Linked DNA regions of Caenorhabditis elegans. The protein of the gene in region 2 interacts with the protein of the main gene of each other region in a pairwise test. Each region holds a gene or a part of one and is shown on either strand. Other genes may lie near its edges.

Region 1 (8,036 bases), on a different chromosome or scaffold from region 2:
TACCATCAACCCAGATTCCAGGAACATAGTCTCCTCTAGTATAATACTCGGTAGAAGCAGATGAACGTTCAGCAGTAGTTCCCATTCCGAATCCATTGTTTTCGCAAACGAACAGAACAGGAAGATCCCAAAGTTTAGCCATGTTAGTCGCCTCGAAAAGTTGTCCTTGATTAGCGGCACCATCACCATACAAAGTAACACATACATTCTTTTGTTCACTGAAAATAAAATAAAATATTTAGATGAAAAAATATGAGTTGTTCTCGTAAAAAAATACATCAAAATTTGTTAACATACCGGTATTTCATGGCCAATGCAACTCCAGCTCCAAGTGGCTGTTGTGCTCCAACAATTCCGTTTCCTCCATAGAAATTCTTTGTGTACATATGCATGGATCCTCCTTTTCCGTGAACATTTCCGGCAACTCTACCGGTCAATTCAGCAAGAACCTCGGTTACGGTAGCTCCAAGAAGCCAGGTCCATCCGTGACAACGGTAAGCAGTGATGACGGCATCTCCTTCTGTCATTGCAGCCTTCATTCCGACGGCACAAGCTTCTTGACCAGAGTAGAGATGACAGAAACCGCGGATTTTCTTCTCCTTGTACAAGTTTCCAGCAGCAGACTCCATGCGACGAATGACCTGCATGTCACGGTAGTACTTGAGAGCATCTTCTCTGTTCAAGGTGACAGAGGTGTTTGGTCCATTGTCAAGTTTATGAAGTTTGCATGGCTTTGTGTGGAATGATACTTCCGTGCTCGCAAGACGAACTTGCTGTGTGCGGATTCCACTGGCAGTCAAGGATTGAAGTTGTCTCGCGAATAAAGACATTGCCGTCGACCAAATACGTTCCAGATGTACCAAGCTACTGAAAGCAGTAAATATATTTCAAAAATAAAAATTAATCGGATTTGGGATGACTGGGAACGTATAAATATTATAAGTTATTGACATGTAACAAATCACAAAACAATACGACACCGTTCGTTATAAACCTACAGAAATTTAGTCATTCCAGGTTCAAGGCTAAAATCAGAATATGTGAAGAAATTCACAAAGAATAAAAATATAAGTATGCGGATCGGAGACCGCAATAGAAGCCAAAATTTAGAAAATAAGTAAATTAGTATAAATTTATTCACATTCAAGGCACTACTCGTGTTTTTTAGGTTTGATGAAAGAGGGCAAGAATACCAACTTTAAGGAATCCATGCAGAAAATGAAACCGAAACCGAAAGATTAGACCATTGAGAGACCAGAAAAACTTATAAAATGAAAGGAACGCGTGAAATTTACAGACATTTTGCACATGTGCAATGGTCAAGTACAATAAATACAAAATTGGGTAACAATAGAATATGATAGAAAATTATTTCTTTGAATTTCTTTTCTGGCAAATCCATTCCTGAATCTTTGCCTTCAACTCAGAATCGGGAGAAAGCTCATTGTGCGACAAGGGAGCACGATTAAACGGATTATTGGGTGTACTGAGAAGATGCCTCTCGATGACTGCACGATCCATCACGTGTCCTGATGGCAATTTGACAGGATCAACCATAATTGCATCCATAATAGGATCCTTGAACTCTTCTGGTACATCATCATACTCTTCTTCAAGCTCAGCTTTTGCCTCATACTCTTTTTTAACATCTTCGGCCAAATGTTCGAAACTTTCGAGTTGACTGAATCCAACAATACTATTCTTTCTCATGCATTCAATCGCATTATGGAAGAATTCAGGACTGTAGGTACGCTGAAAAATAATTAAAATAAATCTCTTTGAATAAACAAATGTGTTAACCAACCTCGTCGTATGCTATGTATTTAACAAATGCAGGCATATTCAGCTTTAAATAGATTGAGATCAGCAACGATACAAACTCCCGTGGTTCCCATCCATAACTTCTTGGATCCTTGACTTTCAACTCGGAGGCCTTGCTACCAATGAGTTGCGATAAATTGTGATTCAACATTGCAGCAAGTCTTTCGCCGAGAACCGGAGTACGGAAAGGTTCGGGTGAGTTTACGGTAATCGATAGTAGCAATTTAAGATTACTTTTGGCTGTTCCAAGCCATCCCTTCACTTTACGTTTTGCCTCCTCGTACACGCCGAGATCCTGATTACGGATTTCTTGATCTGTGTTGTCCCATTCGACTTTGCTGAAAATAAAATTTATATTTTTAAGTTATCATTCGAAATAGTCTTACTTCGCCATCTTTTTCTCAACATCATGGATACTCTTCAAACCAGACAAGCTCTCATCTATACACCATGTTGCATCGTTAATCACCATATTGACAAACCGAATGAACTCTGCTCCGCATTCTCTTGCCATGTCCATAAACTTTCCTTTGTAGAACATATCTTCCTCCATTTTTTCCAACATGTACTGGATATTTCCACGAACGTTAAACTTTTCATAAAAGTCACCATTGTCTTCGAAATCCGAGTAGAACTTTATCATGCACATCAATAAATTTTCTTGTGCCATTCGAAGTCTGACCACGTTGAACCATAATGGAGGTTGAATAGAAGACAGCACTCTCACCAGTTTGGAAACGAGAAATGGGCTTTTGATGTAGTGATATTGTGTGAAAAGGACCGTCAGACGGGAAATCCAATCCGCATTTCTCTCCATGAGCAGTTTCATTCCATTGGAAATAGCGAATATGTAAAAATCGAGAGCATCCTCTAGAAAATATTCTGGGAGCGCACAAAACATTTGTGATACTTCAGTTGGAAGTTGACTGTCGTCTCCGAGCAAATCCAAGTTATCACAAAGCAAATTCAAAATGAATTTCATCTGCTTATCGACAAAATCCATAGAAGATGCCATTAATGCAGGATCTTGAGCTTGTGTCTTAACACATAAAAGATGACGAGACATGAGCTTCCAGTGTTCAGTCTCATAGTTCAACTTCTTTTCCACCTCAGCTCTCTCGAATCCTGACACAGTATTTAGTTTTTCTTTGAGCGCATTGATCTTATGCTTGAGCTCCTTAAGGTGTCGAGAGTATTCACTTATTTGATTCATCAATGGAGGAATAACGAGCCTCTGTGCTGCAATTGTCAGGAAGAAGCAGACTGTAGAGAAATGATATTCATCTGGACGATCTGCTGGAAAAAGAAAACAAGTTAATTTTTTGAGAAAGAAAAATGAAACTTACCGAATTGGCTAGCAAAAGCGACTGCTCCTGATTCGTCCATTTTGAGACGAGTCTCCTTGGAAATATTTATAAGCGAACTCGGTAAAAACGGATAATCTACGATAATTTTGGACAAGTCGATTTTCTCGGAAAACATGTACATCACGGACAAAAAATTTGTCATATAATGATCACACAAGACATCTGAAGGATCATAATGTGAACGAGTGCGAATGTCATTGGTGCTTATGATGGTGGCAATCCATCTTAGAGTTTTGTTGCGACTTCCTTGATCCGAAGCAAGCGGAAGCATCAATTGATGAAGCATAGTTCGAATTGGATCCATTCTTTGGAAATACAGTTTCTGCTCAGTGTTGACTGATCCATCATATTTTCTTGCATCTTCTTCACAATCCACAAAAACTCGATGATTTGGACGCCTTGCTGATGATTCGAGGCCGTACGAAAAGAACGGTCCTAGGAAGGACATTAAACCAAACTCGCGTCCTTGTATTTTTTCGGACGGCGTTGGGAGAAAATCTTCTCGATTAACAAGTAGGTTACTCAGTGGGCGAGGTCCGTTTGAAGGGAGTCTGATACTGAGAAGCAAGTTCATCACACGAAGGATCTGACGAACAATTTCGTCCTTATTGTCTTCAAAGCGTTGACAAATAATTCCGCTCCGCAAAATCCCGAAAATTGGATTAAATGTTTCTGTAATAGCGTCTTCATCGCATTCATCTGTACTTGCAAGGTATTCAACCAATGTTCTTAGAAAAACATTTGACACCGTATCCTCCAGAAGTCTTTTTGTGAACACCAAACTAGCATGTTGGCTGCGAAGTTGGCTCTCCAAGTAGCCTCTCTGTATCATCACAAAAACTGAGAAAACTGCTTTCCTGGTAGATTCGAGAGTTTTCTTGTAGCAATTTGAAGTACCGCTCTGAAAATTGTTAAATTAAAAATAGAACTATATTAGATAGAGTACCTTTCCAAGCTCATGATGGCAACGAACAAAATTGATTAAGAGAAACTCGATGGCGTCTTCTTCACGACATCCAGCAATGATATCAGGGTCGATGAAATTGAACGATCTTGACAGCCCCCTTCTTGATCCATCTTGAGATAAAAGTACAAACTTTGTGATTATTTCGGCAATGTTCGATTGCAGACACTGAGGAGAAACATCAAAATTCAGATTTTGAACATCGATTATCGCATCGGCGTAACGAAGCATTCTGTCATCTGATTTACCTTCACAGTCAAAGAGACTTGTGAGGAAGTCTTTGCTTTCAACATCTGCCTGAAAAAAGAACTAATCGCCTATGAGTATATAAAATGTCAGGCAAAAACGCACCACAGAAGCATCACTTATGTCCATCGGCTGCAAGCCTGCTTTCTCGTCTTCAATCATCTACGATTTCTGGAAATTCGTGATGATCACGTGATTTTGATAAGTAGAGTAACGATAAAGAGAATGGTGAGAGGTCTGATAACAAATATTTTACGGTAATGGGAACATTTATGAGACGGAAAAATTAAACGCAGAGGATTGTATGAAAACAATATTGGACTAGAATTGTGTATAGAGGAAAACATAAAATTATTTTCGAGAGCAAAAACTGTAGGAAGACATTTGCACCGCGCGCGCAAGAGATAGAAAAATCGAAGGAGCAATGCAGCTGCAAAGACGCTGACATTTCGGCCTCTCAATGAACATGCAGTGGAGCGCGTTTGCTGCACTACCGAGACACCACATTTTTGCAGGAGAGAAACATCGGTAGAAAACTGAATTCGGAAGAACGAGTGTTAAATATTGTATCTTTATGATTCTATTTTCAGACACCACTTAATTTGAATATTTTTAGAGCAATAAGAATTTGAAGGGGCAGATAAATTAAGCAACAAAAAAGTATATAAATGAACGAGACTGTGGATGGAACGCACATTTTTGATTTTACAAAATTTTATTCTTTAATAAATATTGTTTTTTTTAAACGAGAATAAACCTCACTTTCAATAAAAATCGTTTAGTTAACTATAGTTTCAAGAGGAAAACAGTAGCGCAACTCAACAATCGATTGTGTACAATTGAGACCCGAGGGACGTCATTGTGAGACTCACCCAATTCTAGACATTTATAGGCGGGTACCTGGTCCACCAGCAGATGTCCTTCAATACGATAAAAAATCAATCAATACACACGTTTGTTGCTACTCTGATGCAATCGTAAATATTCCGGGATATGGCCAGGGTACTGTAGGATTACCGTGGATTATTGTACTTTTAGAAAACTATTGAAACGATCAAAAAAATTCATATGGCCATATATGGTTTGCCTTGAAACTTCTATGTAATAGTGTTGTGTTTTATTCTTCAGATGATAGATTTTTAAATTGATTGAAAATTGAAAATAAATTGAACTTTTTTATTCCAAGAATACAGTAAAAGTTTAATAAACGAGTCTGAAAATCTTCAACCAAAAGAAATCAAAGCATCCGAACATCTTTTTTCACTGTAAAATAACAACCACATTAAATTCGAGTGTTTTTTTTTTGGAAGTTCCACATTGGAACAAATTGAAAATAAATTAATGTTTATGTTATTTCATAGTTAAATAATCTAATATTAAAATAATGAATTAATAATGAGATCAGCCAAGATAACATGTATGGTTTTAATGTAAATGTAGTCTAGATATTTAACTAATTACGCAACACGGTTTCTTTTTGTCCGTCGCCAGTTCCTTTGTTACAGAAATTTCCGAATTCACTTTTGCCAGATTTCCACCTTTCGGAATTGATATTGTAGAATTATTAGTGCTCTCCAAGTATTTGGCGTTCTGGAGAAGTTTGTTAAGAGAGTTTTAAAAATAAAAAAGCATACCCTTGCTTCAACCAGTTTTACTATTTCATCAATATCTGGCCATGAATCTGATTTATCGTCTTCAATGTGCTTGTAAAGAATTTCTCCTGATTTATCCACAAGTACAGTACCACCTTTTTGAGAAATGTAAGAAACTGAGTCTTCTGAGCTTGATGCTTCTTTCGCAACAATTGAATCTCCTTCGACGAGAGAGGCTTCCACAACCTGAAAATTTCCAATTTATACACAATGATTGCTTATCCTTCCCACGTTGCAATTTGATATCAACTTTTTTGCTCAACGTTCGCCAAAGAATAAAAATTTGTTTGAATTTCCGACAAACTGTTACTTTCAACAAACTCTTTTCCAATCTTGATCTTGAAGCTTGAAATTTTGATGTGAATGTTTCAAAGTTGGATAAGAAAACTTTGGACCATATTTTTTTTTCTTTCATTATTTATTATATTTTTGCCAAATTCATGAATTTATTCATATTTTTTGTTCAAAAAGGAAGTTAGATAAAATACCTTTTGTCCCCTTTTATGAAGATAATGAAAATAAGTCATAACTCTTACCTTGCAAAGCGTTCTCCATCCATTATATTCCAGTGCAGACTTTCTATTCATTTTTAATTGTTCTTCAGCCTCATTCATATCATATAATTTACGAAAAGGAACTCCAATAAGCTTAATGTATGCACCACCACTTGATCCAATTGGTGGTCCCTTTGTCAATAAGAATACATCACATCTTAGTTTCCTTAACTCATCAATTCTGTTATATAATCCCAAAATATGCTCATTAACTTCTGGCCTGTTGAATGCTCTGAAGTTTAACCATTTTTATTTGGAAAATCAGAAAAACAAACCGAACTACAATAATGAGCACACAATCAAAAGCACTTCCTGTAACATAATAAGAAATAGTTTTGCTTTGAAGTCCGAGAATTCCAGAATCTGAAAGAAAAATCAAAATAATACATTTTGAAATACAATAAGGAGTACCTTCTGGAAGAGTGGTAACTGCACTTTTGACTGGTCCAAGCGTCTTTTCCAGTTCATCATCAATTTCACGAAGAAAGATGTCCCAAGCTTCAAACGACTCTCGTAGTGCTTTACCCGAAGCTTCTGGAAATTCATTTTTTTTAATTTATAGAATTTTGAACCAAATTGTGAGGTATAAAAATTATGAGAATTTTTCATTTGAACATTTATTCTGATCCTCTTTTATAGCTACAGATTTTTGTATTCAGAGATCAAATTATAGTTTTTCATCAAAACATTCCAAAAAATCTTTTCAAAAACATCTGTTCTATAAATTTGAAATTCGTAAAATTAAAAAATTCCTGAGAAATTGATAACTTTCCAAACAATAAGATAAATTATGTTTTATATCAGAAACCCATTCGATTAAATATTTTTCTCTGAATCCCCAATCATTTGGTTTTTGACTTCCACTGAAAAAATGTGTCTAAATGTGTATACCCATATAATCCTTTGGCTAGATATTAATAAATCTGATTACTCGTTTCCTATGTTTGGTAGTAGCCATGATGTCTAAATAGCAACAGGAACTACATAAACGTCATTTTCTAAGAATTGATGCTCCAGGTTTGAAGCCAGACGTTAAATCTAGAAGTTTTTCCAGGGCATCTTACTGGCTTATTGAGAAAAGCTATTATGTTCACAATAATCAAAAAAATAATTTGAACAATGAAATCATGGATTACCCCCAACACAATACCACCCCCATATCTTACTCATCGCTGGATCATCTTCCCATTCTGTAAGTCTTTGTAACAACTCTTCCAATGATTTCACTTTGAGCACATCAAATAATTTTGCAAGTTCCGGGCAGAATTCGGTAACGAGAAATCGGTTTTGAACGTAATTTGCAACGAAAACGGAACGACTGTTTTGTTGGATCACCTGAAAAGAGATTAAATAAATTTGATGGCTAGAATAACAATTTCTCTATGATACTTTTTCCGTAATTTTCGTAAAATGTTCTGATTAACTCTAAACG
Region 2 (6,600 bases):
ATTGAGTCGTTCAACTTGACGAATAACGTATGGGGCCGCTTAGAAACATTCGTTTTAGATTATAGGGTTAAACTAGCTTTTGCATCTGAAAACAGCTTGTGAGTAGAAAAAAAACCATAGCTTGTATCCAACGTATTAAATTATTATTATTAGTGTAATAGTGGGTTAAGAGAGCCAAAGAAAACGTAAGATGCAAATTTTAACATATCCGTTTTAATATATGCAAATGGAAATCTAGAAGTTCAAAACATCAATAGTTTAAATAGATAAAAACAGTTTGACAAGACGCCTACTCTGTACAAATTTAAAAAACCAAACTGATTGCACTCAGCATGTTGTCTTGCAATTTCAAAGCATTACATCTAAAACCGCTCCTTATAGTGCGCAAGTGGTGTCAGGCTGTACCAATACGGTTTGAAATACAAAAAAAGCGGGATTTTTTCGCACAGAAAGATTGAGAACTCTGTATCTCAACCGCCGCATTTTTGTTGATCTACGTAGATCAAACCGAAGCGGGACATTCTGGCGCCACGTGAGTGTGTAGATATAAAGAATTTTTTAAATTTCTATACAATCAAAAATTGGCAACCAATCTTTTCGACGAACATTTCAAAAGTTGTCACCGAATTTTTGAGTGAAAACCTCCAAAAATCCAAATTTTTCAATGTTTTTATTATGTTTTCCGAACATTTGGGACTATTTTAGGTATGCGGGATTAAAAAAAAAAATTTTTTTGGCTCCCAGTTATATGTGTAAATCCTAACTTTTTTCTCTGAAAAACTAAACTGATAAAAACGACATTTGTCAAGATCAAAAAGCGATGACATAAGCTTTCCTTGCAACAAAACCTACAAATCTGTGTGCCTCTAAATAAGCGTTTCAGATCATTTCAAATTCACGATAACGACCGATTGTTGAAAAAGGTAAATTATGTAACAGAATTTGCGTCTTGTTTTTTGAAATGCAGAAAAAGACCAATACGGAAAAATCTAGTCTCAAAATCAGGACAAAAGCGTTGATGTGAAATTCAAGAAATTTGATCTCACACCAGCTCAAGCAACTCCTCCCCCGCATCTCTCGTCAGAGATTTTTTTTTCAAAATAAAACAAAGAAATAGGAAAAGAAAAGTTTAGATCTATGTAGTAGCAACAATAGAAATTATTTTGACGGTCGACTTGAAAAATGTTTCTTGATCTTTTCAAAATTGTTCCCAGAGTTGAGATTGGTAGCTTCCACGTAAGGTGTCGAACAGGGCACACAAGTGGTGTCAGAGTTACTCATTTTGGTTTGATCTACGTAGATCAATAATACAAAAAATGCGGGAGAAGGGGACGCAGAGTTCTCCACTGATTTCGTATGGTTAAGAACGCGCTGACGTCGCATTTTTTTTGGGCGAAAAAATCCCGCTATTTTTCTAGATCAATCCGTGATGGGACATCCTGGCACATGGCACCACATAGGCACATATAACGTTACATTTGTAATGAAAGCATCATAATCATACTCCCCGCAAAAATAACACATAATACATGATAACAAATATTTATATTTACTAGCAACAATATTTATTTTGAAGGTCGAGTTAGAAGTAGTTTCTTCATCTTTTCATAATTTTTTCCAGAATTGAAGTTGGTAGCATCGACATATGGTGTCGAGCAGGGCTCATACAATGTTGCATTTGTAGATTCCATTGTCGAAATCGCTGAATCGAATTGTTCGTAAAGAGCCGCTTGGTAATCTTCCTCGAGCTTCACATAAATCACAGTCATTTCCTCTCTGTGATTACTGATACAGAAATTTTTATCGTCGCTCATCTGAAAATAAAATAAAAATAATATGGCAATGTGGAATAGCAAAATACATCCGCCCAATGTTTGAACAAATTTAATTGAATTGAGAAGAAATAGGTAAAATTTTGTAAATTGTATTCAAATTTGCTTATCTAAAAAAGGGTAAATCCAACAAACCGTGTAAGCATCGCGATGCTTTCTTGCAAACGAGTCTACCAATGCCTGCGCTGTACTTGTAACTGTGTGATCTTCAATTAGTCGAACGGATACTTCTCTGAAAACTGGGGAATCGATGAAAATTTTATTTTTTATTTTTATAAACGTGTGACTTGGTTATTGACGAAAAAGTTCCATAAGTTTGCTACTTACGTTGGGATGTTTTCAACTTCAACTTCCTTAAGATTCTGAACTACACCGTCGGAGATCAGAACCAAATGTCTCCAGGATGGGTCGATCTAAAAGTAGAAGTTACCTGTTGGTTGGAAAATAAGCATTTAAAAAAAGAAAAGAAAACATGTTCTCATTTTGTAATCAAATCTGAGGTGTTGTGACTAATATTTTCATTGAATTTGATCTTTTATCTTGTTTTTCGTAAAATGTTCCAGAACAACATTTCATCATAGCAAACCTTTGTATACTGAACATCTGGAGTAGAAATAACCGGTGGTCCTTTTGCATTCTTGAAAGCTTCCGTCTCTTCAAACAGGTGGGTTCGTTGTAAGTCACCGATCGCTCTAGTTGGATTCAGAACTGTCTGTAAACTTATTTTGTAAAATTATTACAAAAAAAATTAATTACCTCCGGATTAATCCCTAGCCCTTTTATTCGTACAATCTCCAAAGGATTGTCATTATTGTGTAGATTTGAGTTGAGCTGCACTACGTTCTCACTGTTCATAGCAATTGCGCTGAAAGTTTTTTTTTTTCAAAAATTCCTAACAAACAGTTTCAAAAATCTTACAGAGAGTTTCCGCAATTTAGCACATATAGGTCCTGGTTAATGATCATGACTACTATGGCAGTGGTACCTTGGCGAATCTGAAAATTTGGGAGATTATAATAATTTCAAAATTTAGTCTAACTTTTTGATTGATTTCCGATACTGCATTATTTCCAGTTTCCGACTGTTCCTCCAACTTTAACAGTCGATTGTTCAAATCATCGGTGTTCATCAACAAATAACGCTCGGCAACGTTTTCAAATTTCCGTTTAAATTCTTCCACCACCTGAAAATGTAGTTGTAGAGTTGAAAATTTGATTGTTAAATCACTTGATAAGGGAGTAGTGTTGGTGTAATTGGATTTTCTCCAAAAATCTCATATACCAATCTGTTCATGACAAACTTCGCTGTTGAATCGCCACCATTAAATCCGGAAAAAATACCGTAGAGTTTGATGGGTCCATTGCTGAAAAATGAAAATTTGTTAACTTTTACTATTAATGTAATCTACTAATCTGTGTCTACATGATCTTTCATGTTTTAACAAAAAATTACGATAAATATAGTTTTATTTTTTAATTGATGTACTTGTGACATTTACTTCCTTGCAAACAAATTGTATTTAACACCTTCAATGTATCGTTCCAAAACTTTCTCTTTTCATTTTTTGTTCATTGTGTTACTAGACAAGGAAAGTGTAAAAATTGCATTTTCCCACGTAATCGTTCAGTTTATTTTCCACTGAATTGCTGTAAAATTTGACTTTTTTCCTAATTAAGATCGGTTTATGTTTCATTTTGCAACAAAAAAAGTAGAATAAACTCACTGTATGCACATGGAGCACGATAAAAAATCGTTGTTCTGCACCGGATTTTTTTGTTTTGAGTAGCGGCAGCTGTGCACAGTGCCAATGCCCGCATCGGTGTTGGCAGGGTATTGATCGAGGAACCCGTCGTCCCCCATTTTGCCTGTGCTCTGCGACTGCTCTCCTGCTTATCTACAATCAAATTCACGATGAGTTAGAGAAATAATGACAGAGAAAACGATTAATACAAACGATAAACAAATTTGTTGATTGACTACTTCTACTTTCTTTTTTATTATATAAACGTTCAATGAGCAACAACAAAAAATTCTAATCAAATTATATTTTTATATTGAAATACAATTTAAAAAAAGGGAAAAATTCTAATTCTAATCTTCAAAATCTATATCCGGTCTTTTTTCTCACGCCAAAACGCGTTTCTATTCTTATCAAAAAGCAGCAATGGCTAGCCAAGCACAAACACGTTGAGAGAATTGGCATGCCGACGCGCGCACGCACCCTCCCAAGCATACACCGCCGCGTGTGCCAAACGCGCTCCATTGGCAAAAACCGATAGTCGCAATTTGGACAATTAATGCATTTTCGCATAAATAATGAGCACATTGTTTTTGATTCAATATGTTCTATTGATGATTTTCTGTGTATTTATGTAGTTTTTTGTAGTTCGCACCTGAAAATCGATTTTTTTTGCAGAATTGTACACCGAAGATGACGTCAATAATCAAAAACCAGCTAGTCAAACATTTATCCAAGTAAGTTAATTTTTGAGTGTATTGAAAAATATTAAAAATCGATGACAACGTCAAACATATTTTTTCTCAAATAATACCCTCCTTGTTTAGTTGATAAAATGGATGTTAAAATTTTTGTAACGCCACTGGGAATTTTGCCAAAATATGCTCCAAATCGCTTAAAAAAACCAAAAATATCTTGGTAATTGCTACTTGTGACAATAAGTATAAAATTTCAAATTTTTTTTGAAAAGTTTTACTATGGAATTTAATCAAGTTTGCACCCTCAAAAAATTCACTTTTTTTCAGATTCACAAAAAACTTGAAGCCCGAGCAGATATCCTTAGACGTGTTAAAAGGAAATAGTAAACTTCAGTTTATTGAAATTAACGAAGATGTTTTGACAGAGATTTTGGTGAGTTTTAAATGTACATGCTTTCCTTGCATAAACTCAAAATTTCAGGAGCTTCCTTCGTGGTTGAAAATCAAACGAGCATTCTGTACAGGTGTAGCTGTGAATGTACCATGGACCAAATTGAAAACTTGCCCAATTCAGATTGTAGGTTGTTTTCTTTTTTTTGAATTAGAAATTGAAGTAGACAAATTTATTCTCGTATTTTGAATAATTATATCAGACAAATTAAATCTGCCAAATGTTGCATTTTTGATAACGTTTTCTATTTTGTAAAAAAAAAGTTATAAATATTTTGAAAAGTGTCATAGTCTCACATAAACTCCTTTTTCATTCAAATTCATGCTTTTATAATCGTAAAAATAATTTCAGTTCATTGATGAAATCAATGTGGATGTGGAGCTTACCAATGAGCATAAAAAACAGGCAAAATCAAATCCACTTGGGTAAGCATAGTTCTACCATTTTCGAAATTAAACCCTTCACGTTTTTGCAGAAATCTCGGTGACAGCAGTTCATACGGCTTCATGAACAAAATCATCGAAAACATGTCTTTGTATATAAGTTCTGTAGAAATTAACTTTGATTCCGACGTATTCGGAGGCTCATTTATGGTTTGTGTTTGCTCAGCCGGAAAATGTTTTAATTAATGAAATTTTTCAGCTTCAACGATTGTCAGTGGAGAGCAGAAGTCCAGGATGGGCTCAAGTGAAAGACTTGCGTCAGACTAGAATTACGTGCTCGGAGACAAATAGAACATTGATGTTTAAGCAGGTGAATTTTTAAAAAGAAACATTTCTAGAATCAATTTGAATAATTATAAATCTAAAAATATCTCATCAAAGATGAATCTTAAAAAATGTGATTAGAAAAAAAATATTCAGGAAAAATACATAGTTGGATTTTTAAAATTTTCAAAAAAACATCTGATATTCAAATTGTTAAAATAGGCTTAAAATAAAACCTCCAACTTACAGCTTTCCTGGCATCTCCTTCGCATTGAAGCCTCAGCGAAAACTTCGAAAAATGAGCAGCGATCCAAAATCAATGCTCCATTACGATTGATCACGAGTGGCGGAAAAATTCGAATTGCATTGAAAAAGAATGTAAATGGTGAGTTTTTGTTGGTAAAGCAGAGAATACAAAAAAAAGTGGAATAAAATTGAATCGTATGCCGAGTTTTAAATGCAGTTTTGGAACTTTTATTGCCCATAAAATCATGGGAATTTTTTTATGTGTGTATATAAGAGCATATTCTGGATTTTGAGGAAAAATTTTGTAAAAAAAAAGTAGATAGAAAATTTACGAATTCATTTTTTTCAATGAAATTGATGTTCAATTAAAAGTGGACTACGGCCAATGGAAAAATAACTAAATCCCATTCCTGTAATGCTAAAATTACTAAATATCATTAAGAAAATTTCCAGAAGCTTCTGAAAAGTTTCATTGATATTTGGTAGTTGTAGCCCTATAGGAATAGTTTTAAACCATTTTTCCACTAGCCGTGGGCCACCTTCAAATTCATTTAAAGAATTAAAGTTTCAAGAATATTCAACTTTGTCTCCTCTGATCGAACTATTTTAGACTATATCTTTTCAAGCTTTAAACCCTTTCTATTTTAATCTTTTCCAGACGGCTCGGTAATCCACGCTAGAATTCAAACAATCCTCGACGACATTCTCTGGGTCGCCACACTTCCCCAACTCCGCTCAGCAATCTCATTTGCCAGTTACATTGCCAAACTTGTCAAAGAGTCTCAGAAAAACGATGTGATAACCACAAGCAGCGGGAACGATAATCCGTTTATGAAAGCCGCCGGCAACAGTGCGACGGCCGACGCGAGCACAATTTCCTCTGCGTACAATATTTTCTATTTTGACCAAACTTCATATCATCTCCATG
Region 3 (6,155 bases), 3.0 Mb from region 2:
AACAGCGAACAGTTATCTTTCAAATTAAAACAAACAAGATACATTTCATAATTTCGGCCTATTTCATCAACATTAATTTTTTTAAAGAACGTTGATATTTTTCATCAGATTTTCGTGAAAACCGATTTTTGAAAGTATTTTTGCTTCTTGAAGCCCACTTTCCAAAACATTATAAGAGGTTCAGTTTATTTATATGCCACTTTTGCGGTTTCAACAAGTTCAGAACATTGCAATCAAAGACGATATGACTTGATATGACTCGGATATTTGACTCGATATGACTCGGATAAGTTAGTTAAACCAGCTTTTTAGCACCATTACATTTGCTGCAACCTATATAGTTTAACGCAAAAGCATAAAGTTCTTGCAATTTTATTTAGGCAATCGTTTTGTTGCTTTTGCACAAAAATGTCTGAAACCTTGAAATGTCAAGCATTTCCTGTCAAGCATTTGCGCACAATTTACGGAATACTACATAATAATAAATTATAATATGGTTTAATTTTCTAATTTTCGGAATATAACCTAGTTTGAAAGTTCAAAGAAATTTCTGGTTTTCGGTAATTCGAGCTATTTCAATAAATGCCGAAAATTTGTCGGCAATTCCCTCATCCGACGATCGCTGAAATTTGTCGATTGCATTGCAACCCAGGTCTGAATACATTGCAAAATTATAGTTAATTTTTTTGCAACATTTATTGGTGTGTCAATTAACCTTCTTCAGAAAAATTGCATGTTTTTATTTGTGTGGTATAGAATGCTATTTTTGTACACATTGCCGGTTAGAGTTTTGGAAACCTTGAAAATCATCATTAACAAACCTTCAACTGCTTTATAAAAATTCATATTTTCAAAAATTATTATCATTTTCAACAATCGTTAATTTTTTTGCAATTTTCAATTTTTAAGGTTTTTGGCAAATGAAACTTTTGTCATTTTTGTTTTCTAAATATTTTGGGAATGATAAAATTTTTCAAAAACATTTATTTTTAGAAGTTGGTTAAAAACGAATGTATTAGAACCATCATTATTCACAAATGCAATTTTGGGTAAATTGATTGTAATAAAGTTGTTCACATTATTTCGTTATGTTTTTTGCTTATATTTCCGAGAAAAGCTTCAGTTATAATTATTGCAAAATGTAGAAAATATAATGTTTGGCTTTCAAATATATGTAGATTAGTTACCAACAAATGAAACCCAATTTTTAATATTTAAAACTGCATTCAAAACAACAGGACTTCTTCTTCTTCTTCAAAAAAAACATGACAATTTTCGAAATTGTTTTTGGTATTCTTATGTATTCGGCTTTCAAACTTTTCAACTAAAGCACAAATGTTCATTTAATTGTAAAGTGGTACAAAAGTAGCTCGTTCCCAAAACCCTGCTCTTTCTGCATAGAACTATCTCAATTACCAGTGTACCAATTACCACTCCTTATATTATCGGCTGTAAAAACCCCAATTTTTTGGTTGTTAGCTGGCGCCGCCACCTGGCGTTGCAAATGAAACCTACCCGTCCAAATAAGTAGTTTTCAAGTATGTCACTAACCAAAATTTTGCTATATCTGTAAAGCCAATTTAACTAGAAATAAACCTATGAAAGTGTCATGTACCGGAGATTTAATCCAGGACTCCACCTTTTCTTATTCCTCAATGAATATGAACATTAAATTCTAGTTTTCATCTTTGTTCATATCTATAATAAATGAAATAAATTTTGAATTGAACCTTAGCAAGTGCCTAAGACGTAGTAGTTATCTTGGTTAAGGAAGAACAACCTGCAATAACAAGATGTCGCTAAAAGAAAACGTTCGTTTCAGTTTTCTTTTCTCATTCGAACTTTGTTCAATTGCACTAATTTTTATACATTTGGATGTCAATCGGAATCCTCCCCTCTTAATATTTCTTCGACGTGATTATCTGCGTTAATTTCTCATATTGAAGTTGGTGTTACAACTTTATTATGTGTATTCAAAAGCTTGGGGGTGTTTCGAATGTCGAGATTTGAAAGGGGGAAAAGCCGTAACAAAACGGAACATTGAATTGTATGGGTAGAGACGGGAAGTTTTGATGAGTGGGCTCAGCACAGAAATTTGAATAACTTCTGCATTTGGTTGATGGGAAAAGGGGAGTGATTGATGAATTTATAGAAAAAAATGGAAAGAAAAACGATGGTTTAACTAGTCAATGGTAATAAATAAATCATATGACAAATAGTATTATTTATCATTTTCAAGATCGAGGTGAGGGGTGTGTGGCGGTAACGTGTCGGTGTGAAGGAGTTAGTTGCCTCCCTCTGTCTCGTTGGCATCAGTGTCATCGGTGGCAGCGTCCGAGGTCCAGAGAGTCAAGTTGTCACGGAGAAGCTGCATGATGAGGGTAGAGTCCTTGTATGAGTCCTCGTTGAGGGTGTCGAGCTCAGCGATGGCGTCATCGAAAGCCTGAAAGATTAAAGGTAATCAATAGCTTTGAAGTTACGATGCTATGTCAAAAACTTAACGAGCACCTGCTTGGAAAGCTGGCATGCTCTATCCGGGCTTGCTGCTACTTCATAAAAAAACACCGAATAATTGAGTGCAAGACCAAGGCGAACACAGTTCGTTGGTGACAGATCTTTATTTGCAATTTCAAGTGCCTCCGCGTAAGCCGTTTGTCCAATGTTGGCTACTGCTAAAATAAAATAAAAACATTAACACACCTGCTTGGCAAGCTGGCAAGCCTTGTCCGGGGCGTTCAAGATCTCATAGAAGAAGACAGAGAAGTTGAGAGCAAGTCCCAGGCGGATTGGGTGAGTTGGTTGCATCTTATCCTTGGCAATGTCGAACGCCTCTTGGTAGCTTTGCTGCGACTTCTCGACAACCGCTGCAAAGAAGGAATATTCATTTCTGGTCTTCTTTGAAACGAGTATGACTATGAGAGGCAGAACTCCCTAGAGGAGAACCCCCAATGAGCTGCCCTAGAGTTTATTTTCAAAAACTACGCATCGATGTGGAATTGGGTCGCGCCTGAACTCCCGTTCTCTGTCTTCCCTATGATATCTTTCCACACTTCACACAAGGATGCATAGCTTACGAATGAGGGTTAGAAACGAGTGCACGGTTATGTCCCAATTACAGTCATCATTTTCAATCACTTACAGTTTCTGTCGTCTCCGGAGGCGACCTCAGCGAGGTAACGGTAGTAGTCTCCCTTCATCTTGAGGTAGAAGACCTTGGACTCGGCGGCTCCAGCCTTTGGAATGAGGAACTTGTCGAGCAAGTTGAGAACGTCTTGGCAGATGTCGCGGAGCTCCTTCTCAACCTTCTCACGGTATTCCTTGGCCATTTGTTGCTTCTTCTCAGATCCTTCGGTCTTCTGCTCAATTGAAGAGATGACTCTCCATGAAGAACGACGGGCTCCGACGACGTTCTTGTAGGCAACGGAGAGAAGATTGCGCTCCTCGTTGGAGAGCTCAGCTCCCAGCTCGGTGACCTTCTTCATGGATGCGGCCATGTCGTCGTAACGCTCAGCCTGAAATTAAAGTTTTAGTATTCAAGAACATCCTGAGACATCTACATACCTGCTCGGCAAGCTTGGCGCGGTTCACGAGCTCTTCCTTTCCGTCAGACATAGTTGATTTAGTTGCTTGAAGTGGATGAGTCACTGAAAAACGAGAATATAAAGAGTTTGATACAAAAAGGTCAAATGAGAAAGAGAAGAAAGAGGGCGGTAAACAAATGAAGATTGTTTGAAGAAAGCAAAGAATGGCTCCTTTCCGTATTCTTATATGATATGAAACTGATGGGACATTTTCATCTCTTCTAACACGAGGCGTATGAGCCCTTGTAGAAGTATACACAATGCATCAAGAAGAAACGAGAAGGACGTTGTCGAGCGAGTAATGTTGAACAGAGTGAGCGGCACCCCTCCCAGCCCTCCCTCTCGTTTTCTGTGCGTCTCTCCCTATCTGCCGAAAGGAGCGCGCACCATCATTTTAGGGTCTGTAAAAACCATTCAAACTGCGAATTTCAGAATAAAAATTATATATTCTGAGAGGGGAAAGTCTGTTTCATCAGCTAAAGTGAAGAAAATATAAGTTTTGATATCTGTGTTTAAAAAGAGCCGTTTGGCGCGCTACAAACACACAATTGCGGAGTGATTCGAGGGGGCTGCCAACAGAAAACCGCCGCCTCCTACGACTCATAAAGGGTCTCTTTCGCAATGTGTCAACAAGAGCGCGCACCACATTTCTTCTTTGAAGGAAGTCAACATAATTTCAGATATATTAGATGAAAATTAGATATTCGGGTTCGTCTTTTTCCGGGCTTTTAGTTGACTAGAAACTCGGCCTAAAATCTTGAACTTTGAATATTTTTGTGCAGAAAATAGGACGAAAACATCGGACATGCGGAGGCTTCTAGGGGGCTGCCTTTTGCCCACCCACCAGGCGCTCGGTCGTCATTTGAAGTCGCTCTGTTATTCAAATAGAAAGAGCGCTCACCATAACTCTTTGGGCCATAATTTACCTTCAAATTATCTTGAGTAATGTATGGTCTGAAAATTTGAAAATGTGACTACAGAAGCTTGCCGTTTTCAAAGTTAAATGATGATTCTTGCATGTTCCTGGATGTTTCTGGAAACTTGGAGCAAATTCAAACAATGCGGCAGCGCTTTGGGGGCTACTTTGACGACCGCTGCAGACTTGTTCTAAATCAATGACCAGCGGCGGTGGGCTCGGAGGCTCGGAGCTGATGCGGTTGGCTCTCGCTTCACAACAGCCTAGGATCGAATATGCAGGGCGCGTAAACATGCAGGCAAAACAGGCTGATAATCGTGTTACTTAACTTGAAAGTGCCTGGTATTTGCCTTAAATTACAAAGGAGATTCAGAAAAATAATTAGCATGATAAATTTACAATTCTAAACTACATATAAGGCCAGGTTCTATTCATTCTTTTCATTAATTCATATGTAGAATTTTACAAAAATGTTTATTACAATAGTATCTGTAATTTTTCCTGATGTTTCTGAAACTGTAACTGGTATTTTGTACAAACATCCATATCAATTAGAATTGGTGTCGCGGAACACATCCGACTGTTGTTTGATCTTCATTTTTGTTGTCTTCACTTCCGATTTTCGAGGAAGTACATGTACATCTTCATTCTTCCTATCCCGAAACCTTTCAAACCCCATTCTATCAAAACAGAATTAGGAACAACAGATGCGTGGTGTGGTGCGCAACTATACAGAGACCTTCAACGCAATTTACGTCTTATCTATTCCACATCTTCTTTCACCGTGCAGTGAGGTATACTCTTACTCATCAATGAGAACTGTTGTCTTACGGGAAAGATTCAAAAACCAGTGAACCCACCTTCAATTTGAAAAATACGTTTCTAAATATATTTATTCGCATTTCTCAGACTGCCCCAATTACCAAAATGGGCTTTTCATTTTTGGCCATTTCAGGATTAGCGGCCGACGGAGCAGTGAAGTCGTGGGAACCTATTAGATGTTTGGTCAAGGTTGTGCCCAGACTCCAAATTGTTTTGAACAAGGCACCACCTGCTGGTCATTTTTCAAATGTTCTTTCTTTCTGAAGGTCCTCTGAGAGATGGAAGGATGTTTGTAGTTTTCTTTATTACGACCACTTTACAATTCAATTCGGGGGAAGCATTTAATTTAAAATTCTTCTCTATGTGTGTGTGTGTGTGCAGATTTCAACTTTCTTTACAACTTGGCTCAATGAGACTTCGATACTTAGATATTGAGACTTCAGACTAACAGAAAATGAGAAATGAATGATCATGTGAAATAGGATATAAGCTCATAAAGTCAAAGTGCATAATACTCCCTAATGTAATATTCATGAGTAATCATTGATGCTTACACTCTGTCTCGACTTCCTATCTGTTCTTGGTTAGCAGAATATTTAGCAGTTCTGTGAATCTGCACGGTGAGAAAATTTCACAGTTTGCATGTTTTCATTTATTCAACCAGTCATTCGATTACTGGCCAAGTGAACAACAACGTCGCGTGGGATATGAAAATTGGAAAATTTTGAAATTGGTCTGCATTTGGCAGAGTGTCCCCCTACTTTTCAAAACAATCCAATTTCCAATTCATGATCACAGATGATTCTAGTTTTACTAAAAAAAAAAGGTTGACTGTA
Region 4 (8,838 bases), 2.0 Mb from region 2:
AACAAAGAAGGGGTTTTAACAGGGCAAAGAAAAATTGATAGGCGACTCTGAGATGGCAGGAAATTTACAAAAATTAATGGTTTCTGATTCCCAAAGTCAAAAGAAAATTCTTCTATAGGGATTAAAACTAGAATTCACAGAAATAAAATCTAATGGGGTTATTCAAGTAGTGTCGGAAAATTAAAAAGTGTAGAAAAATTACGTCACAACTGTATTAAAATACATAAAAACATGTATTTTAATACATTTGTGACGTCACATACATTTTGCTACATTACTTGAATAACCCCATAAAAAACGTTTTCAGCAAAACCTATATTTGACCAGAACCATCCACGATGTTTGTGCAGACCTTCGTAAATATACAGATGCACTCACGCACTGAAATTCCTGGACACCATCAAAACCTTCTCAAAAAAGAAAAACAATTATGAAAAGAGACTATGAACCATCTAGGACTATTGCGACTAAGTAAGTAAGTAAGTTTACTTTTCAGCTCTGCGGAAAAATTGGACATTAGTCTTGCATGTATGTAGGTCTCCCATAGGAAACTCTGCGAATGGCAAACTTGAGTCCCGCTTTTTCTTGTTCTACATTTGCTCATACATGAATGGCAGCTCATATTTTGTATACTTTTGGCTATAATTGAAAAAGTCAATTGACAAGTATGTTTTCTCATAGTTATTTTACATATTATTAATCAGCCCAAATGAAACAATTTCAGCAAGATTTATACCGTAAATCTGGGGTTAACTTACATTAATGTTTTTGAAAGCCTCCGAATTCATTGAAAAATGTGTCCTCGGTAGTATAGTGGTGAGTATCCGCGTCTGTCACATGCGAGACCCGGGTTCAATTCCCGGCCGGGGAGAATCTTTTTGCTCGTTTGGCTTTAATGGTCATTTTAAGATATTGGTCTTTGATGTAGATATCAAATAGGAAATTCTGTAAGTGGCAAACTTGAGTACTTATTTTTTCAGGCTATACATTTGCTCATGCATCATTGGCAGCTTATATTTTGTATACTTTTGGTTTTAATGCGACAAGGTCAACTGTCAAATTATTTTATGTTTGTTTTTTCATATTTATTTTACATACTATTAGTCGGCCAAAATGCTACAATTTAAGTAAGAATTGCAGAGTAAATCTGGTTTCAACTTACATTAATGATTTTGAAAGCCTCCGAATTCTTTGAAAAATGTGTCCTCGGTAGTATAGTGGTGAGTATCCGCGTCTGTCACATGCGAGACCCTGGTTCAATTCCCGGCCGGGGAGAATCTTTTTGACAAGCTTTTATTTTACGAGAAATGGTTTCTGGCTGCACAGGTGATACCAAAAAGCGGTTGCTGAACAAATTGGCTATTTTGAATACAAAATATTAATTGTGTTTCTATCATACACTCAAACCTAAAACTTGAAATAAATATTAAAATAAATACAGAAACAGTGCTATTTCATTTCTGCTCCCTAAAATTGAACATTCCAGAGTTTAATTCACAACGTTTTATTATACGAGAATAGAACCAAAGGTGATGTTGGACGGCATGGGTGTTACAAGTAAAGTATGGTAAGAGATAAGAAAACAGTTTTGATTATTACATGTTCATGCGAGATTTAATCAAGATTTTTGAGAGCCGGAGTGAGAAATGAGAGAGGGGAATTGACAAATTTCTGGAAGAGAGAGGGTCCCGAATTGTGAAACTGTACTGCACATAATGAGTTTATTTGAAGTCCGGTAAGTTTGGAGAAGAAGACAATGAAATGAGAACACCATTTTGTTTGAAATTGAGAGCGAGAATTCGGAAAAGGGCCGTACTAGGAATTGACCTGGTTTCTAGGGAAATGCTGCCGGGACGACGAGTTTATGTATCGTTTAGAAAGGCGTTTCTTGTATTTATTTTTGTATGATTTTCAAAGTGTGCGCATGTAGCTGATTGAACCAATTTTGACAAGTTTTCAGGGATAATTTCATCACAATTTTTGGTTGGAACTTAGTGAGTGAGGGTGAGAGCAAAAAGAGACAAGAGACGGGAGACATTAGCACATTGAAACTGTAAAGAATGACGTAGAAAAGACCCAGATTACAAATGACGTTTGGAAGCAAAGCATACACAGAAATTTTGATTCAAATTAAAAATGGGAATAGCTTGATTGAAAAGTGAACGTGGGGGATTAAGAGTAGTGGGGTGAAAATGCTCGCAGAGGCTCTGCAGAAAGTGCAGTTTTAGTGGAAATAGCCCCAAAAACTGAATTATATTTTCGAAAGGATACAATTTAAAAAAAGAAATACAGTATTTTGATTAATATGGACTTTATTATATTTTGAGGTTTGGATGTTATGGAAAAGGGAAAGTAAGATGGATTTACGCGTGGTTGGAAATTGTTGGAACAAAGACCCCTATTATGAGAGAGAGAGAAGAGAAGGTATGAACTGGCAGACATAAACCTGGAATCCCTGTGAGACCAAGCACCAGCCACCAAATTATTCTTAGTGGGAGGGGGAAAGGCGAGAGCCTCCCCTTAAACAAGAAAAATTGATTATCTGGAGATGGCAAAACGAGAGGTGAAATACAAAAAACGTGTAATTTTCCCCGTCTGATCAGCAGTAAAGAAGGAAGGAGACGACAAGATAGAGAGAACATTCACAAGACCACGTTTACAATAGAAATCCGGAGGCAATAAAGTAAGGAAACAGACACACACACACACGAAATTAAAGAGAAAGGGGGAGAGTAAAAAAGTATTGAAGAAAATGTCAAAGGTCACTGAGACAAGTTAATGGGAAATGATGATGACAAGGCTGAAACTTTGAATTTCAAATTTCCAAACTTAAAATTCAGATTACAGTGCGAAACACAAAATAAAAGTAATGATGATAATTGTTCGTGTGTGGGAGAGAAGATCGGTGGGCGATACAATCTATTCTAAGAACGAGTAGTGATAGTCCTCCGTTGAGGCTGGCGCACGTTGCTCCTGCGGTTGCACAATTCCAGCGTCCATCAGCGCACGGTTCACTTTTTTCGAGTATTCTTGAACTTCAATCTTTGCTGTCGTCACTTCGATGATGAGACGATTGTGTTCAAGCTGGAAAATTGATTTGTTTGGTATTCATATTATTCATCTTTGCAAGCAATCGAACTGAAGTAATCTGAGCTCCTTAGCGATGCGTCTAATATTTTTCAAAAGTTTGATATTAAAGGATTAAAGGACGATCCGTACTTCAGGTGTTATGCACTGCGGATCTGGAATTCAGTTCCGTAGTGCACTGTCTGGTGGGGCTCCCACCGGGCTATTATTTGAGCCACGTTCAAGCCGGGGACCGTGACCGATAATCCAGTCGTTGATTGCTCCACTTCTCAATAGAGGCTGGGTAAACCTAGGGGGCTTGAACTCATGACTTCCAGCTTGCTAGCGGCCACCACTACCGACTGAGCTATCCCGCCGCCCAATTTAAAATCTAGGTTTAAGCAGGATCTAAGCTAGTTTTCTGGTAAGGTTGATATTTTAAATTTCTAGCAAAATGTCTAGCTTTCATTTGTTTCCTATAATAATAGGTTGTAGTATGATAATTATTTTGGCTTCTACTATTTTAATTTTTCATAATTTTATCCTGAACAACCTGAAAACTCGACAATCTTCCTCACCTTTTGACTATCATTCATGTACTTTTGTTGATTCTGTGGATCAACCTCTTTCACATCTTCTGGCAGAGAACTCTCAATTATCTGCTTCAGCTCATTCTCCACACTATCCAACGCTGGAATTTTGACGAGCAGCATATTGACATACTGCAGCACCATTGGCGGTAAGTTGGCCATCATCGTCACGCTCTGGTCCAGGTATCCCTTGTCGACAGCGTTCTTCAGCATCTCCGCCACAGCCACGTGTTGATTGGTTCCGGGCTCATTGAGTGGAATTGTTCCTCCCTGCACCCACGATCCAGTGGTGTTGTCACTGGAGAATGTTGAAGTGTGCTGATTCGGAAGATACCATGGATTTTGCTCAGTTGTCAAGTCGTTCCATCTGTTGTTCTCGTCGAATATCGTCGACTCGCTCTTGGACGGATTGTTTGGATCATTTTCTGGAAGCTCTCCCCATCCGGTCACAACAATTGGCCGTTTCGCTGGTACTGGGAATGGGAAACGTTGATTGTCCTCTCCCTGAGACATGAAGTTCAATTTAATACCTAAGACAACAATATTACCTTTTTCTGTGGTACTGGACATCGGTTCAATGCAGTTTCCAAATCCTCATCGGCACCTTCGCCAACAATCCACAAGCTAATGGTACGGTCAGCTGCAAAAATAGTCGATAATAGGTGATTTCTATAGCAACACATTTAGACTAATTTCAGTTTTTCATGAAACAATGGAGAATTTCATTCAATTCCCACCAAGGAAATATTTTTTTAAAAAACTCACTTTGCTTCTCCGGGTCTCCCCAATAGGACACTCCAGTATCTCTCTGCCATTTCTTGAGTTCTCCGTTTGGATCATGCCAAACAGTCAGTGTGAGATCATCAGCAGCTCCGCCGATTGGGAATGGATTGTTGTACTGCTGGTCTCCTCCCATGAACTGCTGCATGCTTCCACCACTTCCATTGTTTCCGGTGCTGTTCCACATATTGGATCCTCCGCCACTCTGGCTTCCACTGTGTCCCATTCCACCACGGTTGTTGTAGTTTCTTTGACCGCCGTGGCCTCCTTGACCTCCACCAGCATTGTTATTCTTCCATGATCCGTGTCCACTATTCGGAGCAACACCCATATTTCTCATTCCACCCATACCACCTCCCATGTGCATATCCATCGGTGGTGGAACTGAAACGTCAACACCGCCACCCATATTGCCAGAGTACCGTCCCTGGTTGTGGTTTGGACGACCGTTTCGGGGCGGCATGCCTGACATTCCACGATTGCTGTCCTGCCCCCATGGACGGTTCATCTGCTTGTTGCCACCCATGTTATTCGGGCCACCCCATCCCCCTTGGTAGTCTTGCTGCTGCTGCATCATTGGCCCACTACGTTGTCCTTGTCCTGGTGGTCCATGTCTCATGCCTGTATTCCAGGCTCCCTGCAGCAATGGCATCGGGTATTGCTGATGCTGTTGAGGCTGTTGCTGTTTCCAAAAGTCATCAGATTCTTTTCCCATTCCTCCGTTACTCCAAACCGGGTGCGCTGGCTGAGACCCTATGGACCAAGGCGCAGATTGACCTCCAAGACTATTCAATTCACCGAACGCTGAAAATTTATAGATTTAAATTTATAAATATAACGTCTAATCAAATTTGAACTTACAGGCATGTGGTTGAAGTGGATACTGCACATCGCTCAATGGTGGATCACCCCATATCTGTTTCTCATAATCTGTATTCTGAATGCCACCCCATTGGCTTTGACTTGATGAGCCTGTGCCACTGAGTCCAACAAGGGCTTCGTTGACATTTGGCTCTGAAACAATTTTTACGTCATCAAGATTACAATTGCCAATTACCGATATCGTTCGATTCCTGTTGCCATGGCGATCTGTTTGGGAACTGTGGCTGCGGTACCGGCGGAGCCCAGACACGTTGCTGCTGGAGACCGTTGTTTCCCCATACAGGCTGTTGGTCGTTAGGATGCCACGCTGCGTCGTCTATTGAAATGTTGTTGAAGTTTTTTGCGAGACTCTCCATGGTTGCGTTGATCGCGCTCTGGCGATCAGAGTTTGAGCTTATCTGTAAAAAATGGAATATTATTGATTGATGAGTTTTGGCGAGAGCGTGATGGTAAATGATAGATGACAAGAGAAAACAAAGAAACTGATAGACTGATTGATAACACTATTTGATTTCGACATGGGTACATTGGTCGAACAACATTAGCCGCGTAACGAGCAGGATTTCATGAAGGCAATTGAAAATTTTACGGACCAGGAGTATCAGCTTAATAGAAATTTTATAAAAAATGATCTAAAGCCATTCAAACAGTATTGAGCAAAATTATGTTTTACAAGATCATTGTCAAAGTTAGAAAGCATAAACTATTAATTAATGCAATACTGCTAGATAGAAACAAGTTCAGTGTAAAAAGCGTTCTCCTGTAAAAAGGTAAACATTAAAAAATTTAATAAGTTTTGTACAACCTACATAACTACTGTTGTAAAGAAAGGCCCCAAAAGCCCCCGGGGCGCTGCTGGCTAGGTGGGAACTAGGCGGACAAGGGGTTAAGGAAAAAGCAGGAAAGAGAGAAAGGAGAAGGAAAAAGCAGAAGAAGGAGAGAGACTAGTTAGAAGAGGGGTCTGGTGCTTCGCAGGCTGGTTGGCTGGGCTGCTGCTGCTGCTGCTGCTGCTGCTGCTGGCTACCCCGATCGAGGGCGAGAAGGCGACCGGCGACGACATTGCGCGTTTCTCTCCCTGTCTGTCTCTCTCCATCTCATAGTGAGAGGCCAACATCAAATTGCTTGCCGGGCGAGAGACGCAGCGGAAACTCCCCGTCTTTCCACTTTTTCCTCGCTTCACTACTACTAACCCCCGTGAGTCTGTCCGCTCACGCTTCACTCATCAGACCACCCTCCCGCACTCTCGCTCTCTCTTTTTCTTTCACGAATCAATGAGACCGCTGTGTGTATGTGTGTGTGTGTGCAGAGAGAAGAAGGAACGTAGGGTCAACTGAGAGGGTTTCATGTCGTGTAGAGACGGAGAAACCGCACCGCCGCACACTCACGCGCTCATGCGCTCACCACCGCACTCATAGACACTCATCGACGTGCGCTCGACCACTCACCACCATTTCTCTTCATCTCTGGTGGTTCTCCCCGTATCTAACAGTATATACGTCTGTGTGGCCAGTTCTACACACACACACACATACACACACTACCAATATATTTTCGATATGTGGGATGGACGGGACACACGAGCGAAGATGGACGGGATGAACAGCGGGACGGGCGACATGCCAAACTTGAAACACTTTTTGGTTGGAAATAGATTCGGAGAGAAATTGATTAGGAACTTGTTAATTGAGGATACTAAGGATATTTAACAGAAATTCACCAATTTTCTGAAAATTTGACATTACAGTGGTTTTTCTCTGTTATGAAAAGTTGGCTATATCGTAACTTTTTGTACTTTGTGAAATATTTAAATTCAAACAGGAGATGATAAATCTAAAAAGGAAAAAGATGAAACATTATGTTGAAATTCTTAAGACAGTGTTCATTAATTTGACACGCCAAAACAGCCGAGGCTATCAATTTTTGGTGACTGAATTTTTTCGACCTTGTGTGCCGCCACCGCTCGGGAACCAGAAACTGTGAGTGCTAGACAGTTGAGGGTTTGTTTTCCTTCGCATCAAGTTCACGTGACCCGGTGAGGTGGAAGAGAATTGGGAATGAGAAATCTATACTGTTTTTCACACGGAGAAGAAAACATGAAGAGAAACTTTTGAATAACGAGAAAAATGTTTTTCTTTTTCAAAATTGAAAATAGAAGACAAAAAACAAACACGCTGAGAGAAAAGAGGCAATTAATAAAAGAAAAAACGACCAGTAGAAAAAGCAGGTGTTATTAGGCTCCGGGAGAGAGAAAGGGTCAAGCGGGAAGTGTTGGTAGTGTGGTCCAGCGCGGAACAAGATCGCGAATGCGTGTAGCAATTGGACAGATGGGTCGTCGAGATAGTACGCGTTGCACAGAGATGCCGATGGTGAGCGTAGGGCCCAGCGCACTGCCTCCCACCTATCGTTGATCAATCGATTTCTTACTCGCGTCTCGAGAGGGGCTACTCAATCAACACATTTCTAACACTTGACTAAAAGTTTTACATGGTTTAACTCTTTTCTTTTTTGTTGATAATCTTTTATCAATAGATTTCAAACTTATATGCTATTCATAGTTCATTATTGAAGCTTCTAGTTAATTATTATGACATTGAAATATTTTTTTAATTTGCTATCACAAAGAAAGAAACCAATTGTCACATAGAATCAAAAAATTGGCATTTTCTATTCAATAACCCATATATTAAATCAATAATCACTAACGCATAAAATGATCCTAAAATACTTTTGATGATTTTCAAATGATTTGTTCAAGGAAACTTAAAGCAATTTATGTGAAAATTCGATAAAACTCAGTATCAAAGAAAAAATAAAATAAAACCAAATAAAACTAAATAAAACTAGGTAAAACTAAGTAAGTAAGTAAAATCGAAAAAGATTCTAAAATATTTAAAAAAATCAGAAGTCAAAAATCCAATTCTACAAGATGATAAACCGACGAATTAATTTTTGTTCGTAATTCCTAGAACTACTGTGTTTTTCATTGCAGTATTTCTTGCAATACCATTTTTTGACTGTTTATATTTGAAATTCAATATACAAAACTGGAATTTACGTAGGATTCAAACAAAAATGTGCACATTTAGAAACAAAATTATACGAGCATTTTGAAGACGCTGGGAATCATAGAAGATCCATGAAAAATACCATGGGGTGCAAAATTGATACAAAACATACCATACCTAAAATTATTAAACGAAAAACTACACATTAAATATCAAAATAGTTTTAAAAAAATTCGTCATATAAAACATATTCTCTTTCCTCATATTTTTGTTTCGAAGTTTTTGTTTCTATTGTTTATGTTTTCGGCTAGCTTCATCATATTTTGCTTTTCATCCTGCCCATTTGTTGTTCAGTACACATGATTCAAAAACAAAAAAACTGGAAAAAACAGCAAAAACATAAGTTTCTTCATTTTGGATTTCGACCACGTCAGAGATTAACACGGATAAGCCGCGATAATCAGAACTAAACTAAACGATTTTGGAAAGAAGGTCTTCCACACGAACGCGTGTAA

The links.
Region 1: the proteins of tap-1 (region 2) and ufd-2 interact in a two-hybrid assay, tested with the Caenorhabditis elegans proteins (one large-scale study listed by BioGRID).
Region 3: the proteins of tap-1 (region 2) and ftt-2 interact in a two-hybrid assay, tested with the Caenorhabditis elegans proteins (one large-scale study listed by BioGRID).
Region 4: the proteins of tap-1 (region 2) and ain-1 interact in a two-hybrid assay, tested with the Caenorhabditis elegans proteins (one large-scale study listed by BioGRID).

What each region holds. Positions count from the first base shown.
Region 1 is NC_003280.10:8,059,276-8,067,311, reverse strand, and holds ufd-2 (Ubiquitin conjugation factor E4 ufd-2), read right to left. Parts: upstream 4,572-8,036; 5' UTR 4,561-4,571; coding exon 4,504-4,560; intron 4,462-4,503; coding exon 4,135-4,461; intron 4,090-4,134; coding exon 3,168-4,089; intron 3,118-3,167; coding exon 2,208-3,117; intron 2,160-2,207; coding exon 1,805-2,159; intron 1,753-1,804; coding exon 1,369-1,752; 3' UTR 1,119-1,368; downstream 1-1,118. Other genes in the region: pdha-1 (Pyruvate dehydrogenase E1 component subunit alpha), read right to left, coding at 1-218, 298-867, 999-1,012; T05H10.8 (peroxiredoxin-like family protein), read right to left, coding at 5,848-5,988, 6,033-6,236, 6,587-6,836, 6,880-6,967, 7,016-7,138, 7,771-7,939. UniProt on the Caenorhabditis elegans protein: Acts as an E4 ubiquitin ligase mediating the assembly of polyubiquitin chains on substrates ubiquitinated by another E3 ubiquitin ligase. The elongation of preexisting ubiquitin chains preferentially targets ubiquitin 'Lys-29' and 'Lys-48' residues.
Region 2 is NC_003284.9:14,586,750-14,593,349, reverse strand, and holds tap-1 (TGF-beta-activated kinase 1 and MAP3K7-binding protein 1), read right to left. Parts: upstream 3,727-6,600; 5' UTR 3,693-3,726; coding exon 3,556-3,692; intron 3,196-3,555; coding exon 3,060-3,195; intron 3,016-3,059; coding exon 2,872-3,015; intron 2,828-2,871; coding exon 2,751-2,827; intron 2,698-2,750; coding exon 2,589-2,697; intron 2,545-2,588; coding exon 2,419-2,544; intron 2,246-2,418; coding exon 2,160-2,245; intron 2,065-2,159; coding exon 1,968-2,064; intron 1,815-1,967; coding exon 1,566-1,814; 3' UTR 1,529-1,565; downstream 1-1,528. Other genes in the region: bltp-3B (Chorein N-terminal domain-containing protein), read left to right, coding at 4,264-4,307, 4,596-4,701, 4,750-4,845, 5,071-5,144, 5,195-5,312, 5,362-5,472, 5,676-5,811, 6,331-6,600. UniProt on the Caenorhabditis elegans protein: Involved in the Wnt signaling pathway by regulating mom-4 kinase activity.
Region 3 is NC_003284.9:11,601,769-11,607,923, forward strand, and holds ftt-2 (14-3-3 domain-containing protein), read right to left. Parts: upstream 3,652-6,155; 5' UTR 3,613-3,651; coding exon 3,562-3,612; intron 3,513-3,561; coding exon 3,140-3,512; intron 2,865-3,139; coding exon of another isoform or gene 2,701-2,864; intron 2,673-2,700; coding exon 2,509-2,672; intron 2,444-2,508; coding exon 2,285-2,443; 3' UTR 1,940-2,284; downstream 1-1,939. UniProt on the Caenorhabditis elegans protein: Required for extension of lifespan by sir-2.1. Required to modulate lifespan, in concert with hcf-1, acting redundantly with 14-3-3-like protein par-5. Promotes nuclear export of yap-1.
Region 4 is NC_003284.9:16,610,329-16,619,166, reverse strand, and holds ain-1 (ALG-1 INteracting protein), read right to left. Parts: upstream 5,717-8,838; 5' UTR 5,675-5,716; coding exon 5,494-5,674; intron 5,451-5,493; coding exon 5,298-5,450; intron 5,241-5,297; coding exon 4,422-5,240; intron 4,297-4,421; coding exon 4,205-4,296; intron 4,161-4,204; coding exon 3,645-4,160; intron 3,296-3,644; exon of another isoform or gene 3,147-3,295; intron 3,085-3,146; coding exon 2,920-3,084; 3' UTR 1,492-2,919; downstream 1-1,491.